Tamandua tetradactyla: one gene and its partner. The protein of the gene in region 2 purifies or fractionates together with the protein of the main gene of each other region. This does not show direct contact. Links are inferred from orthologs where the notes say so. Each region holds a gene or a part of one and is shown on either strand. Other genes may lie near its edges.

Evidence for each region. The genes of interacting proteins can lie anywhere in the genome.
Region 1: the proteins of STK3 (region 2) and VAPA purify together in Homo sapiens (affinity purification with mass spectrometry; 4 studies listed by BioGRID and IntAct, counting the BioPlex papers as one, with this or other methods). This does not show direct contact. The link is inferred for Tamandua tetradactyla from reciprocal best matches to the Homo sapiens genes STK3 and VAPA.

The regions. Positions count from the first base shown.
Region 1 is NC_135344.1:73,603,072-73,610,558, forward strand, and holds the start of VAPA (vesicle-associated membrane protein-associated protein A), read left to right. Parts: upstream 1-4,468; 5' UTR 4,469-4,696; coding exon 4,697-4,775; intron 4,776-7,487. UniProt on the Homo sapiens protein: Endoplasmic reticulum (ER)-anchored protein that mediates the formation of contact sites between the ER and endosomes via interaction with FFAT motif-containing proteins such as STARD3 or WDR44.
Region 2 is NC_135332.1:142,776,628-142,784,226, forward strand, and holds the start of STK3 (serine/threonine-protein kinase 3), read right to left. Parts: upstream 3,017-7,599; 5' UTR 2,809-3,016; coding exon 2,783-2,808; intron 1-2,782. UniProt on the Homo sapiens protein: Stress-activated, pro-apoptotic kinase which, following caspase-cleavage, enters the nucleus and induces chromatin condensation followed by internucleosomal DNA fragmentation.

The sequences.
Region 1 (7,487 bases), on a different chromosome or scaffold from region 2:
TCCTCTCCGGAAATGGCACCTCATCTATCCACCCACACAAGCTGGAAGTAGGGGAAACATCCTCTAGATCTCATTTTCTCTCACCACCCTCCAAATCCATCCATATCTGAACCCTATTGATTTTACTCCCTAAATAGCTCTGAAATCCATCCAGTTTTCCCCATTTCCAGGGCATCTACTGTGGCTCAAACTCCTACCCTCTACAATGCCATCCTGCCATGTGAACTACAGCAATAGTCCCAATTGCTCTTCCCATAGTTCCTCTTACTCCTTCTAATCCAACCTCCATGCTGTAGCTCAGAGGTATGTTAAAGACCATTTCACTCCATAGTTGAAATGTTTGGTTGGTTTCCCATTTTCTTAGGATAAAGACCCAAATCCTTAATATGGCCTAAAATAAGCCACATAACTTGGCTTTTCTGGCTTCGTCTGCTGCTCACTGCCAGATTTATTCACTGTAGCACACTGGCCTTTTTTTCAATGACTTAGAATGTACCGTGCTTATACTGTGCCCTTTGCCTTGCATACTAAGTAATCGTTCAGAACACAGCCTTGTCATTTCCTTAGGTAGCTCTTCCCAACCCCAGACCTATTTGCACAACATCAGACTTCTGAGCCCTAGTGCTTACCACAATTTAGATAAAATAATTGCAATATTAGTTATTTCATATTTGTCTCTCCTGCTTGAGTGTCAGCCTTTAAGGACAAGGTCGTGTCTATGGGTTCATTGGTACATCATTAGCATCTTGGTGCAAGGCACATGATGAAGCTGGATAAAATAGGACAACTGTAAGTCCCTGGTCTCCTATTCAACTCTGAAAGAGTTAACAGACAACTGCAAGTTTCTTGTTTCTTACCTAACTCCAAAAGAACTTATACAGAGCTGCAAACTTCAGCTGCAGACTTCCTGCAACAAAAATTTCCCAAACGCCCCCAAACCTCCCAAAACTACTGAAACCTCCTCAAACCATAAAAACTTGTAAAATTCTGGGCCCAAAGCAAACTCTTAGTTAATAATAGCAAGCACAATGTCATAAAGATTGTTAACCATTTGCCCAAAGACAAATTTCAGGTATGTGACAACAAACCACTAATTCTGCTAGCTGTCTCCTCCTAGAACAAAGAAGACACGTACTATTCAAAGGTCACTGTGGAAACCTGCCACTGGTAAAACTTTCCTATAAAACAAGCTGGGGGCAGGCAATAGTGGCTGAGTGGCAGAGTTCTTGCCTGCCATGCCAGAGACCCGGGTTTGATTCCTGATGACTGCCCAGGCAAAAAAACACCCAACCAACCAAACAAAAAACAAGCTGGCCTACTCCATTCAGGGCATGTCCCTTCTGTGGGCACACCTGCATTAACCTCTCTAATGTGTACTCTCTCTTTCTAATAAATGTCTCTTTCAATAAACTTTACTTATGCCTACTGGCCCTCTCATCTCTGAATTCTTTTAGTTTAAAGACTATGGAACTTGGATCGGGGTTCAGCTGGCACCTCTGCCAGCAGGACATGGGTTACAATACCAGTAAATTAGTGTTCCACATTGATAAAGTACCAGTGCCCAAACCAGGCACTGCATTCAGCTTTCTTGTGCCTTAACTCATTTATCCTCTTAATGAAGCTGTACAGCGGTTCAGCTGTTATTATCCCTATTTTACAGATGTAGAACATGCACAGAGAGGTGAAGTAAGCTGCCAAGGTCACAAAGTGGAAAAGGGGATTTGGATCTAACAGTTCAGCTCCAAAGCCTGTGTGCTTGCGTGACACAGTATTTATTGAAAGCAAGTCCTTTTTAGCATTTATGGAATTGACCTACTCAGGGAATTGATCATAAACAAATTAAATATTCTAGAGCACCTCTTTAGTAAAGTGTAATATGTTTAACTATGGAGATGGTTATACTTTTTACCATGTTTTGGAAACTGTTTTTGTGGATCTTTGCCAAGCTCCTAAGAGATAATCTGTCCAAAGGTGAACACTCCTGGTGATAGAAATAGACCAAAGTAATAATCGAGGCCTTCGTACCTCTGAGACACATTAAAAAGTGGTCTTTAAAGATATGGGCTTGGAAGTATATATACGTTTTGCTAACAGAACAAACCTGAACTTCTAAGTGAACAGAACAAACCTGAGGCCAAACTTGTCATTGTTCCTAGTTTAAATGTTAACAGATAAGTCAATTGCATTTTAAACTGCTGTCTTAATTGCTTAGCATTGTCACTTTTTTTGTGGCTTTGGGAAGAGCAAAAATGCACAGGATGGAAAATAGGGTTTTGTTTTACCCCTTAAGTTTGACTCTAGTACTGGCTTGAGAGGCCCTCACCTGTGTTTTCATATCCATATTTAATAACCAAATTAACCCTTTCCAACTGCTGCAAGGTTGTCCTGAGTAGCCTGTAATGATGTTTGTATAGTTCTTTGAACTGCTAGAAGAAGGTGTTAATAAATCCCAAAGAATAAACCACTTAAACAGAGCACCATTTGATGAGGGGTAGACAATTCTCTGGGGGCTCTGAGTCATTATGAATGCAATGCCTTAAAACAGTCATGGGGGAATTATTCCCAAGGCATTTCATGTATTGTTAGAATATCAGATTTGTATAGATTTTAAGACTATGCCTATAGGATTTGGAAGCAATATGGATGGAAAGAGGAAAACTGTGGACACACTTGGAGGATGCTTTGATGGACAGAGGTTTCCTAATGATACAGACTGGGAAATTGGGGTACAGTCAGTTACACTTGGTGGGTGGGAAATCAGTGTCCCATAGGGGAGTGACTGGGAACTTCCTCAGCATGCTTTATCTGCTAATTGGGTGCGTGCACACTGGGAATTTCCAAAGGCTTTCTGGAAAGAGAGATTCCATCCAGCTGTGGAGGGGTTAGGGGCCAGTTCAGCCAAGGCTTCTGTTCCCTCCGCTAACTTGCCAACCCAGGAGAGGTTCTAAGGCAAGCAAGGAACTGTAGTTAGTGAAACCTTTTGGGAACATCAGTTTACAACTAAACAAATGTGGGACACCATCCAGTGGAGTGACTGCCAACCTCAAGCCCCCGCCTCCTTTTTTTAAACATTAAGCTCCTTTTTGATAAACATACACTTCTGGTAACCCTCCTTTAATAATTAAATTTTCAAAAATACCTTTTGTGAATACAAAGAAATCAAGGGAAAGGTAATGTTAGAATATGCTTTTCGAACTACATAAGCATTCCAATCCCCCCACGGTCTTCTTTCTGGTTGTGGGGCAGGCTCCAGCGAACGCTAGGTCAGCTATTCCTCCGCATTGCACACGAAGCCTTGGTCAGCCTGGGTCTAGACGACTGTTCCATTCGTCTCATTTATTTTCCACACAAACCTAGCTTGTCCTTTATCGCAGTAGCCTCAACGTGTCCTTTGTTTTGCGGCGCTTCCTAGGAATTTAAATTCAGGATGCACTGCAAAGGTTTATTTACAGCACATTGTTCATTTGTTTCACTTGATGGTCCTGTCCCGGGCCACCACGCGGGCAACCGGTTGAAGATGTGTCAGCAACTTTGCTGCTGGCATTTTCCTCCTTATTCAGTTTACTACAGGCGGCCGTGGGTGCTGCAGGCGAATTCGTTCCTAGCGAACGTGACGCCGGTTTTTGCTTTGGAGCTATCATTCATCGCAGCCAAGGAGCAGCAGCGCTGTACATTCGGACTTTTGTCATTTGACGTGTGTACCCGGTCAGTGTCCCCAATGAGGTGGCGAGGGCGTTTCCCCCGCGTGATTTCGCCCTTTCTGGAGAGAATCCAGAGAGCCGGAGACGCTGGCTGGGAACAGGACCGAGACTCAAGTTCTCCCGTGCAGGGATGGATGGGTTTAGACAGTAAACTGATAAGCCCCGGCCTGTATTCCACAGGGTAGATTTCATATTATTCATCAGCCTCCAAAGCATTTGTTTTTCTTTTTTAGCGCGGTCGAGAGCTCCCAGGAGCCCCAAGCAGGGTCAGCGCGCTCCACCCATCCGCCTTCAACGGACGTCGCTTCTTCCCGCCCGCGGACCACGCACACTACACTTCCCAGCAGGCACCACGCGCTGCGCCTCCAGGGACCGGCCGCGCTTAGGCTCCGCCCCACGCAGGGCTTGCTGGGAACTGTAGTTCACCGGCGCCTTCCGTCTCCTTCCTTCCATCAGGCATTGCCACTTGGAAGACGGTGATGCGGGACCATCATAAGGCTTCTTGTTTCGTAATCGGAGCTAACGCGAGAGAATATTGCTCCTCTAGCACCACGGGGCGCCCCGTTTCCTCCCACAAACCTTAGCGCCGCCCCTGACCACGCCCGTTCCCTTGACAGCTGGCCCGGGGGCTCCGGCCACTGCCGAGGACTGCAGTGCGCAGACGCATCGAGATCGCGCCGTGCTGGGCGGGTCTGGGGGCGGGGTGAGCGCCGAGCGGCAGGCGGCGGGGGCGCGCACGTCTGCACGCAGCCCGTCACGTGGGGCGCCGGGATCGCAGTGCGCGCGGCCGCGGCGGCTGGTGTGGGGTTGAGTCAGTTGCGAGACCGGAGCTGCTGACCCGTCCGGCGGCCGGCCCAGCAGCGCCAGGGCGGCAGGCGGAGGCGAGCTGGGAGCCGGAGCCGGGCTCGGCCGTAGAGCGTCTCCAAGCCCGTGCCTTCCCTGCCCCCGCCGGCAAACCGCCGCCGCGGGCGCGCCCCCGCTCTGCGCTGTCTCCGATGGCGTCCGCCTCTGGGACCATGGCGAAGCACGAGCAGATCCTGGTCCTCGACCCGCCCACAGACCTCAAATTTAAAGGTGGGCAGCGCGCGGTGGAGCTGACGACTGTCTCCCCTCGGGGGCTTGGCGTGGGGTCCAGGGGGCGGCGGGCGCGCGGGGTGTTGGCCTGACGGGTGCGGCGTCCCCTCCCCCACGCGCGGCCCTCCGGCTCGGGCGCACTCGCCGCCCCGCCGCCTCCCTCTCCGCGGTCCTCCTCCCCGCCCTCGCTCCTCGGTGCGCGCGCCGGCCGGGGGCGGGAGGGCCGGCCTGCTCCCGCTGCCGCTCCCGGCCGGGTCTGGCTCCCGCGCCGCCGCCATCTTGAGGCCCGCCGGGCGCTCCGGAGTGGTCCTCCCGGCCCCGCCGCTTTGGGGTGTCCCTGGCGGTCTCATCTGCGTGCTCCTCCCGTTCCGACCGCTTTGGGTTGTCCCCCTCGGCCTGACCTGGAGGTGCTCCTCCCTGCCCGACCCGGGTGCTACCCCCGGTCGGCTTCGACGTGCTCCCTTTGGCCCCGGGTACTCCTCTGGGTTCGGGGTACTCCTCTGGGTTCGGGGTGCACCTCCCCCACCGCGGCCGGGTCGTCCCCGCCGCTGGCCCTTTGACCTCCGGGCCGTTCGGAGGCTGCGGGCGGGCAGCGACCTGAGAGCAGCGCGCTGCGGTCCACGGGGGAAAGGGCGTGTGAGGCGGCGCCAGTTGCACCCGTGGCTTTCTGTCCACCGGGCGGGAGGTTCGGCATCGAGGCCGCAGCTCGCGACCCAGCCCCGGAGGGACACGGTCCCTCTGCCTCCTGCCGCCGTCCGCATCCCGGGGGAACGCCGGGTACAGCCGGCCTTTTGCCCGGAGAGGGTGTTGCTGCTCGACTTGACTGAGTTAATAACTCTCCTGTTAGGCGTTGGGAGCCCCGAGTTCTTCTGGTTATCACCTACCTGGTTTCGTTGTAAATGACGTGCGGGGAGGAAGGCTGGGCGCCAACTTGAAGATCTGCGGTGGGAGCGTCCTGGTGGTGGGGCTTCCCGTCCGCGGTGGCATTTCAGTTTACCTTGCGTGCAGAGCCCTGTCTACTCCGGTTCAGTTTAGCCCTTGAGCTGAGCGTCTCTGCTGCGGAGTCTTCAGTTTGTGGCATTTGCCTTTGGATTTGCGGTTTCCCACTTCACCGTGAAAAGGCTGTGAACGTTTCGCTCGGCTTCGTAAACGTCATTAATTTCTTTTGCAGCAACACCCACGATAAACTTACTAGTCTAACTTAGTGGTGCTTGAGGAATCCGGGGGCTATTTCGTCCGTTTGCGTTTCAGTATGTAGACGGAGGGTAGTTTAGGGAAGGAAATTAAAAAATGAACATTTGTGGATTTTTTTTTAAAAGAACTGCTGAAAGATTGTGACGTTCTTGAGTAGACTCTTTTATCCTAAGTATAGAGTGAGCTCCCTTTTGGAAGTCGTTATCTTGTATTTCAGTTTCAGTAGCTTACAATTTTGTAAGGTGTATAGCAGTTCCAGCGTTAAGAGAAGTTATTGTTGTATAAGGTCGTATCCAAAAGGAAAAAATACATCATTTTTCCATAGAAAATTTTAAATTAAAAAATTTTTTTGGAATAGTTTTAGCAAGTTCTTTTCTCTTTCACTCTGGAATTATGAGAGTATTGCATAACTTTTTAACTTTGCAGTTCTCTTAGTACATTTGTAAATTTCTTTGAATGGTAATGTGAGTTGCTTGTTAGGTAAGGATTTGATTTTATAGACAACTCTAAGAAGTATTTTGAGGTGCAGTGAGTGCATGACTTTCCATAGTTTTAGCTGAAAAAAAAACTTTTGAGGAATCCAAAAATTATCTAACTCAAATATCGATTATCATAAGCTGAGGAATTTTAATGTAAACTATTATGTGTGTTCTTTCTGCAGTTTAAATATTTTGTTTTCGTCTTTTGACAGCCTGAATTTAAAGAGAACATTTCCTTTATCTGATAACCAGTGTGTTGGGTTAGAAGCATTTAAAAACCAGTTTAGGCCAGGAATTGTCCACAGTTTGAAGGTTTCTTCCTAGAGTGGTTGTAATGCTGTCATAGTAAAAGAAATAATAGTAGGTTAAAAAACAACCCCAAACCCTACATGATGACTACATTTGATTAATGATGTTCAGCAATGAGTAATTCATTCAGCAGGTATCAGCTTATATTGGGGGAGTCATTGCTAATCAAGGTAGAGAAAAGATTCCCATGGTTAGTTCATAGTTTAATGGGGAAGGCATACAATTAAAAAACAGTAAAATGTGTTAGGTTTTGTCTTTGCCCTTGAAGAACTTCCAAGACTAATCAGGGAGACAAAAAAGGCAGGAAGATGCTCTAACAGAGGCACAAACATATCTATAAGAAAAGAGGGCCCCGCTTCTTTTCTACTTCCTCCTCACATTAGAGTAGGAAGCCTTAAAGGAAGAGACTAGCTATGGTAGGTGGGTGGTAGGGAGTGGGGAGAATGGCCAAAGACAATGGTTGAGTAAACTCACTGATGTGAAAGAATGCTTGGCATATACTCCCCCCCGCCTTTTTCTTTTTATTAGAGAAGTTGTAGGTTTATAAAAATTATGCAGAAAATAAAGTTCTCATATACCCCTTTGTGTACACGGTTTTCGCAGTTATCAACACTTTGCATTATCATGGTACCTTGTTATAATTGATGAAGTATACTTATAGTATTTATAATATAACTATAGTCCATAGTTTACATTGGGGCTCACTGTGTTGTACAGTTTTCTGTTTTTG
Region 2 (7,599 bases):
TGTTGATGGACTGTGGACTTTGGGCCCTTGAAGTGATGCCTGATGAAGGCAGGTGGCTGAAGGATGCACTAACGGAGAAGTAAAACAGCAAACGATGGTGCATACTTATGAACAAGACTGTGCTGCTACAAAAAGGAACAAAGTCATGAGGCATGCAACAATGTGAATGAACATATGGGACATTTGGTGAGACAAAATAAGCCAGAAACAAACAAACAAAAAAAAAAAAAAAATGGCATGGACACCTTTAGAAAATGCTTATAAGAAAACAGGGGCCTAGATTGTAAGCTTTTGAGTAGATACATTAAGTCCGGAGTGGTGATTAACATTTCTGGATTTTGAGAGGCTGTTTTATATATAAATATATATATATATATATATATAACCTGATATTTAGAGTAAAAACAAAGCCGAACAGGTTGGGGTTAAAGTAATTCAGAATATAGGAGTAAGAAAAAGCGTCTACATTTTAGAACCACACATACTCTTTGAGACCAATAGAAGAAAGGTTTATTTGATCTGGAATTGAAATTTTCAGTCGTGTATAATCTAATTCAACCTATCTGTATAGCTCATTTGAATAACTGAAACACAGGAAGCACAGAATAAGAAAGAGGTCCTTTAATCTTGTATAGATTATTGTAATGCCTGGATACATCGTAGAGTATATTAAGCAGATAATCAAAAAGTACTGGCAAAGTCTCCTGAGGGAGGGGAAAAAGAACATGAAACTATTAAACCTTACCATTAGGTAAGGTTTGAAACCCCTGATACTGTGTCAAACTTTAGAGATATCCAAATCCACAGGCTATGCTCTTGATCATGAGGTTTACTCTTGTGAAGCTTATGTAGGTAGTGGAGAAGCTTAGCCTACCTATAGGCATGCCTAAGAGTTACTTCTGGAGGACCTCTGTTGTTGCTCAGATGTGGCTCAGTCTCTCTAAGCCCAACTCTGCAAGTGAAATCACTGCCCTCCCTCCTACGTGGGACATGACATCCAGGGATGAAAGTCTCCCTGGCAATGTGGGAGATGACTCCCAGAGATGAATCCAGACCTGGCACCGTGGGATCAACAATTCCATCCTGACCAAAAAGGGGGAAAAGAAGTATAACTCATAAAAGATCAGTGGCAGAACAAGTTCAAATAGGGTCAAGAGGCTATTCTGGAGGTTGCTCTTATGCAAGCTTCAAGTAGACCTTGCTATGGATCATAATCTGCCCACCCCCAACCAGGACCATTCCAGTCAATCCTAAAGAACACCTAGGGTAATATATAAGATTCCACAAGGGTTCCATGCACTAGAGTAACTTTCCAGAAACCTACAACTTCCAGATGGGTCCCTGGTCCACATAAGTCCTGAAACCTAGCCCAACCTTTCCAGAACATCAGATAGTTCCATCTTCCTACCCATATTAGTGACAGACCCTTCCAATATGAAAAATTTAGAATTACTATAGCCCAAACAACCCCAAGAGAGGTATGGAAAGATCAAAGGTGACAGCAGAATTACACATAGAAGATAGGACTTAAAAATGAATATGAATGCTGAATCATTAAATTGACATTTCTTTTAGTCTCCAGTATTTTAGAGTAGCTAGAAGTAAAAACGTGAAATCGTAATCTATGTCAAAGTGTGAAATATGTTCTACAGCTAACTGTGGTGCCGTGCTTGGAAATTTATAGGTTTTTTGTATATATGTTATTGTTCACAAAAAAAAGAAATAAAAAAAAAGTCGATTGTGATGATAAAAAGTGTTTAAGCCCTCTAGCCGTCCATATTCTGGAGCAGCTAGAAGGAAAAATATGAGAGGATCGTATGGTAGCCCATAACAAACTCTGGGATCTGTCCTGTAACAATTTGTTGAAGAGTACTTTGAAAACTATTGCTTTTTTATTTCTTTGCTTTGTATATATGTTATACTATACAATAAAAATAGTTCAAAAAAAAAAAAAGAAAGCCTGAAGTTAATGTTTTTTTCCAATATCAAGCTACAGATACATTCTTGAAGGAAAAATCCATATTATGCAATTGTATCAATAAACAATCTTTATTTAGATCATTTCAAATATTAATTCAAACGTATTTACTCTGCATTCTTACATTTCCAATATAATATCATAGATTAAACATAAACTAACAGTAAATACCAAAGCATCACTATTTTTACATGCTAAAAGAAAAACAAAAAACTATAGGGGAAGGGGTTCTAATTTAAGATCCCTACTGTCTAGCATCCATAAATACTTTTGAACTAAGTGGAGAAACACCTGTCAGTGCGGCAAATCCGCAAGTTTCAGAGATTGTGTGCCTATTAATATTTAATTCCTTAAACAGTAAATAAACAACCCAACTTCTTTAAACAAACAAAAAAAATTACGAAGAACATTTGACAAGAACGCCTACAAGACTGGCAGAACACTAGTAATGTCCCTGTTTTATGTCTCCCAGTCTTCGTAAACTTGCCGCGAGGGGAAAACTCGACCTGCCCCGGAGCCGCAGGAGGTCCGGCCGCGGGGAGCCGGGCGCTGCCCACTCTCCTTTCCACGCGCGCCAGGCCCCGCCGGACGCATGCGGGGGGAGCCAGTCACGGCCTCCGCTCGGGTCCCCTCGCCCCGAGGACAGGCGGCGCCTGCAGCCGGACCTCCCTCCTGACCCACGGCGCGCCGGCCCAGAGCCCGGAAGCCGGGGTGGGGGGTCGCGATCTGGCCTGGCCTAACCGAACCCGCCCCGGGGCTGCCAGCGGCGCGTCCCTCCTTCTCCCCGCTCCCCTTATTGATTACCTCTTGGGCGCCGGTGGCTGCTCCATGGCGGCCTGGGGCAGAGAGAGGGAGCTGGCGGGCGGGGAAGGCTGGAGGGAGGAAAGAAGCTGGAACACCCGCCGGCCGGGCCCGGGGAGCCAAGGAAGGAAACTCCAGGAACTCGGACCAACTTTCTCGTAACTCCGCGGCGGATCCTACGGCCGCTGGGGAGTGTGGCTCTTCCCGGCCTGCCCCGCCCCTCGGCCTCAGGCCGCAGCGCAGGGTGGTGGGCGGAGCCGGGCCAGGGGGAGTGGGCGGGGCCGACCGCGGGGCGGGGAGAGTGAGTGGACTCGGAGACCCGGGAAGGGGCGGGCCGCGGCGCAGAGAAGGGAAAAGGGGAGGGGTGGATTGGAAGATCCAGAAGTTGAGGCTATCTAAGGACTCTTCTGTGCTGGTGAGGGATAGGTCCCTTTACAGCCGGTTCAGGACTGCTGCTCCTCATTTCTCTTCCCTGCGTTTGTCCCAATGCGATTTGAAACATTTCTCTGGATTTCCCACACGATGCATCCCAAGCATCTTGTGAAGCCGTTTGAAGTACTACTAACTGCCCAGGATTTCTTCCTTAGTTCTGGTTATAATTACTGCTTCTGTTTTCCCCCAGCGATTTGACATTTGTAGCTACAGTAGTGGTGATCCTCCTGGAAATTCTTGTTTTTTTTGATTGTGGACAGGCTCCTCATTACATTTCACAATAATTACATCTAATTACAGAGAAAATAATTACTGCAGTGAGATTCTCAGGCACAAACGCAGTATTCTATTAGGTAACCTAGCAAGAAATAGCAGAACCTATGGTGCATAGAAAAGCACTCAAGAAAAATTTGTTTCCTTCCCTCTTCTCGCCCTCCTCCCTACCTGTTCCAACCACACTCACCCTACTCTGATAGTATCCCTTCATGTTTAACCTTAAATTCCACATGTGGCTGTCTTTCTTATGACCAACTACAACTGCTATGTAAGGAGTTTTCTTGTTTTTATTATAAATTGTCAAGGTATAAAGTCCTATACGGTTTTCTCAAGGGTGGAACAATATATAGAAGAGAATGTTGAATAAAGAGTCTTTATGAACATTAGCCTAAATTGTCGATGGATTGGCTTACCAACAGGAATTCATTGGTTCATGGTTTTGAAGACCAGATGTCCAAAATCAAGCCATGCTTTCTCAGTGTTCTCACGCTGGATTGCAGCAATTCTTGGGAATTTCTCTCTCTTTCTCTCTCATTCTCACTCTCTCACCTGCTCTTCCAGTTTCTCCTAAATCCAGTATTGGCTCTTGACTCTTATAAGGCCTCCAGTAATATAGACAAAGGCTGACGGGATTCAGTGAGGCCATACCTTCACTAAAAATAGTATCTTCAGAAGTTCATACTTATAATGGGTTGATACCCACAGGAATGCAGATTAAGATAAGAATATATCTCTTTTTTTGGAGTATATAATTCAGTCTACCACAACACTTATTCCTCATTTTGCATTTTTAAGTTTTATTATGTAACAAGCTTTCACAATTTCTTTTTAAACCATCATATCCACCCACCCTCCCAAATTTAGTTATTTTAAATTTAAGGCCACTCATTGTTGAGATCTAAAGTCGAATTTTGTAAATGAGATTCTTGCAAATTTGTATACTCATTTGAATATATTGAAGACTCACAATAGCAAGATAAACCAAAGAGTTAAAATGAGTTCTGAATTGCCTTAAGCCCCAGGAAGCCCCTCCCAAACTCCAGCCCAGTACCACCACTCCATGCCTCCCACACAAATTCAAGTTATGAAAGAGAAACCTCACTTTTAAGAATCCATAGTACTCTGTGCTGGGCTTTGTGTGGTGCTTATCACATTGTATTGAAGTTCTCCACTCTTCTGCACCTTGCTGTCTGCCCTGGGGGCTGACCCGTGGGCTCACATCAAAGGGCTCCTTAGCCCTCTCTCTTTTAAATAAGTCTAAAGATAGGGAAACCCAACAGGAAGTCTTCTGCAAGGGGGAAAAGGAGTGTGAAGTCAGACTATTTATGAGGTCTCCTGGGACTAGATGTGTTCCAGGAAGTCCTCAATGATCTTCTCAAGGCAAAACACTTTACCCAAATCTCCTTCATTCCCCTTCTCCCTTTAGACCTAGGGGCCATGTGATTGTTCTACTTTTTACTAGGTTTCTCCTCTATTCCCTATGTTCCTCTACACCTCAGCCTCCTCAAATGATCCTTTGTCATTAAACCCTTCCTCAGATGACTCTAATTTGAGTATACTTTCAAAAGGGTTTTCTGTTGGAACCCTGACTGACACCGAAAAAGAAGGTTTATGGAAAGAAGGAGAATTAATATTAGAAAATAAATCCTCGGTGTCTCCCCTCTGTTTGAAAAGGGAGAGTACTAACAAATGTTGTATGAATCCAACAGGAGGACATTTGGCCTACATAATCTCATTCAACTCTTTATTTAATTCTATGAAATGTCCTCATCACAACAGACAAGTCAGCACTTGCCCAGCCACCACTTGTCTAAGTTGACACACGAACATGACCATGACACCCACGTTGGGGAAACATACAATAACATAAGAACCTAATTGGTAATTGTGTTGGTTTAGAGCTGTTATAGACCCCAGAAAAGGCCATGTTCTTCTTTTTTTTTAAATATTTTTATTGATAAATCTTAACATGCAAACATTCCATATATGATGTTACAACAATGGCTCACAACATCACATTGTTGTGTATTCATCACCATGATCATTTTTTAGAATATTTGCATCACTTCAGAAAAAGAAAGGAAAAGAAAAAAACTCAAATACACCATACCCCATACCCCTCCCTCTCATTGACCACTGGTTTTTCCATCTACCCAATTTATTTTAAACTTTATCTTCATGGTTAATTTTTTTACCCATATTTTTTCACTCATCTGTCCATATCCTAGATAAAAGGAGCATCAGACACGTGGTTTTCAGGATCACACAGTCACATGGTAAAAGCTATATCGTTATACAATCATCTTCAAGAAATAAGGCAACTGGAACACAGCTCAACAGTTTCAGGTACCTCCCTTCGGCCATTCCAATACACCATAAACTAAAAAGTATGTGCTGGTTTGAAAGGATGTATGTACCCTAGAAAAGCCATGTTTTAATCCTAATCCCATTTTGTAAAGGCAGCCATTTCTTCCAATCCTTATTCAGTACTTTATGTTTTAAACTGTAATTAGATCATCTCCCTATAGATGTGTCTCAATCAAGAGTGGTAAGTTGGATTAGGTGGAGACATGGCTCCATCCATTTGGGTGGGTCTTGATTAGTTTACTGGAATCCTATAAAGAGGAAACATTTTGGAGAATGGGGGAGATTCAGAGAGAGCAGAGAATGCTTAGAGTCTACCAGCCAGCAACCTTTGGAGATAAAGAAAGAAAATGCCTCCCAGGGAGCTTCATGAAAAGGAAGCCAGGAGAGAAAACTAGCAGATGACGCTGTGTTAGCCATGTGCCTTTCCAGATGAGAGAGAAACCCTGACTGTGTTCACCTTGTGCCCTTCCAGCCAAGAGAGAAACCCCAATTGTGTTCACCATGTGTCTTCCACTTGAGAGAGAACCCCTGAACTTCATCGGCCTTCTTGAATCAAGGTATCTTTCCCTGGATGCCTTAGCTAGGACATTTCTATAGACTTGTTTTAATTGGGACATATTATCAGTTGCAAACTAGCAACTTATTAAATTCCCCCTTTTTTTAAGCCATTCTGTTTCTGGTATATTGCATTCCAGCAGCTAGCAAACTAGAACAAAGGGATATCTATGTAATATGTAAGAATAACCTCAAGGATAACCTCTCCATTCTGTTTGAAGTCTCTCAGCCACTGAAACTTTATTTTGTCTCATTTCTCTCTTCCCCTTTTAGGTCAAGAAGGCTTTCTTAATGCTTGATGCTGGGTCCCAGCTCATCCCAGGATTTCTGTCCCACATTGCCAGGGAAATTTACACCCCTGCCTGGGAAAGCTGTGTTCTTCTAATCCATCCCTGTGGGGGCAGACCTGTTGTGGGTGGGAACTTTTGGTTCAATTGAGAACTGATCCACCCCATTCATGGTAGCTCTTAATCCCATACCAGAGCCCTTTATGAGAGAACAAAGAGAGAAATGCCCAGAGACATTTGGAGAGAAGCATTGAAACCAGAACCCAAGAAAGAAGGACTAGCAGACATCACCATGTGCTTTCCCATGTGACAGAGGCACCCTAGATGCCAGCAGCCTTTCCTCAGAGAAGGCATCTTCCTCTTGATACCTTAATTTTGGACATTTTTTATGGCCTTGGAACTGTAAATTTGTAACCTAATAACTCCCCAATGAAAAAGTCAACCCATTTCTGGCATATTGCATTCCAGCAGCTTTAGCAAACTGAAATAGATTTTGGTACCAGAAGAGTGGGATGCTGCAATTTGCAAATACCAAAATATGCTGGAACGGTTTTATAAATGGATAAGGGGAAAATTCTGGAAGAATTGTGATAAGTTTAATAGAAAAGGCCTAGACTGCTTTGAAGAAACTGTTGATAGAAATACCGACGCTAAAGGTACTTCAGATGAGGCCTTGGACAGAAATGATGAATGTGTCATTGTCAACTGGAAGAAAGGTGATCCTTGTTTTCAAGTGGCAGAGAAAGTCTAAGTGCAGATAGGGTGGGCCAGAGAAGGCCAATGAGAGGGCGACTGAGGAAGTGAGGGAGTGAAGCCAGAACGTAAAAGAGTGAGCTATGCAGACATCCAGAGGAAGAGAATTTGAGGCCAAGGGAACAATATGGCCTGGAGGTGGGAGTGTGC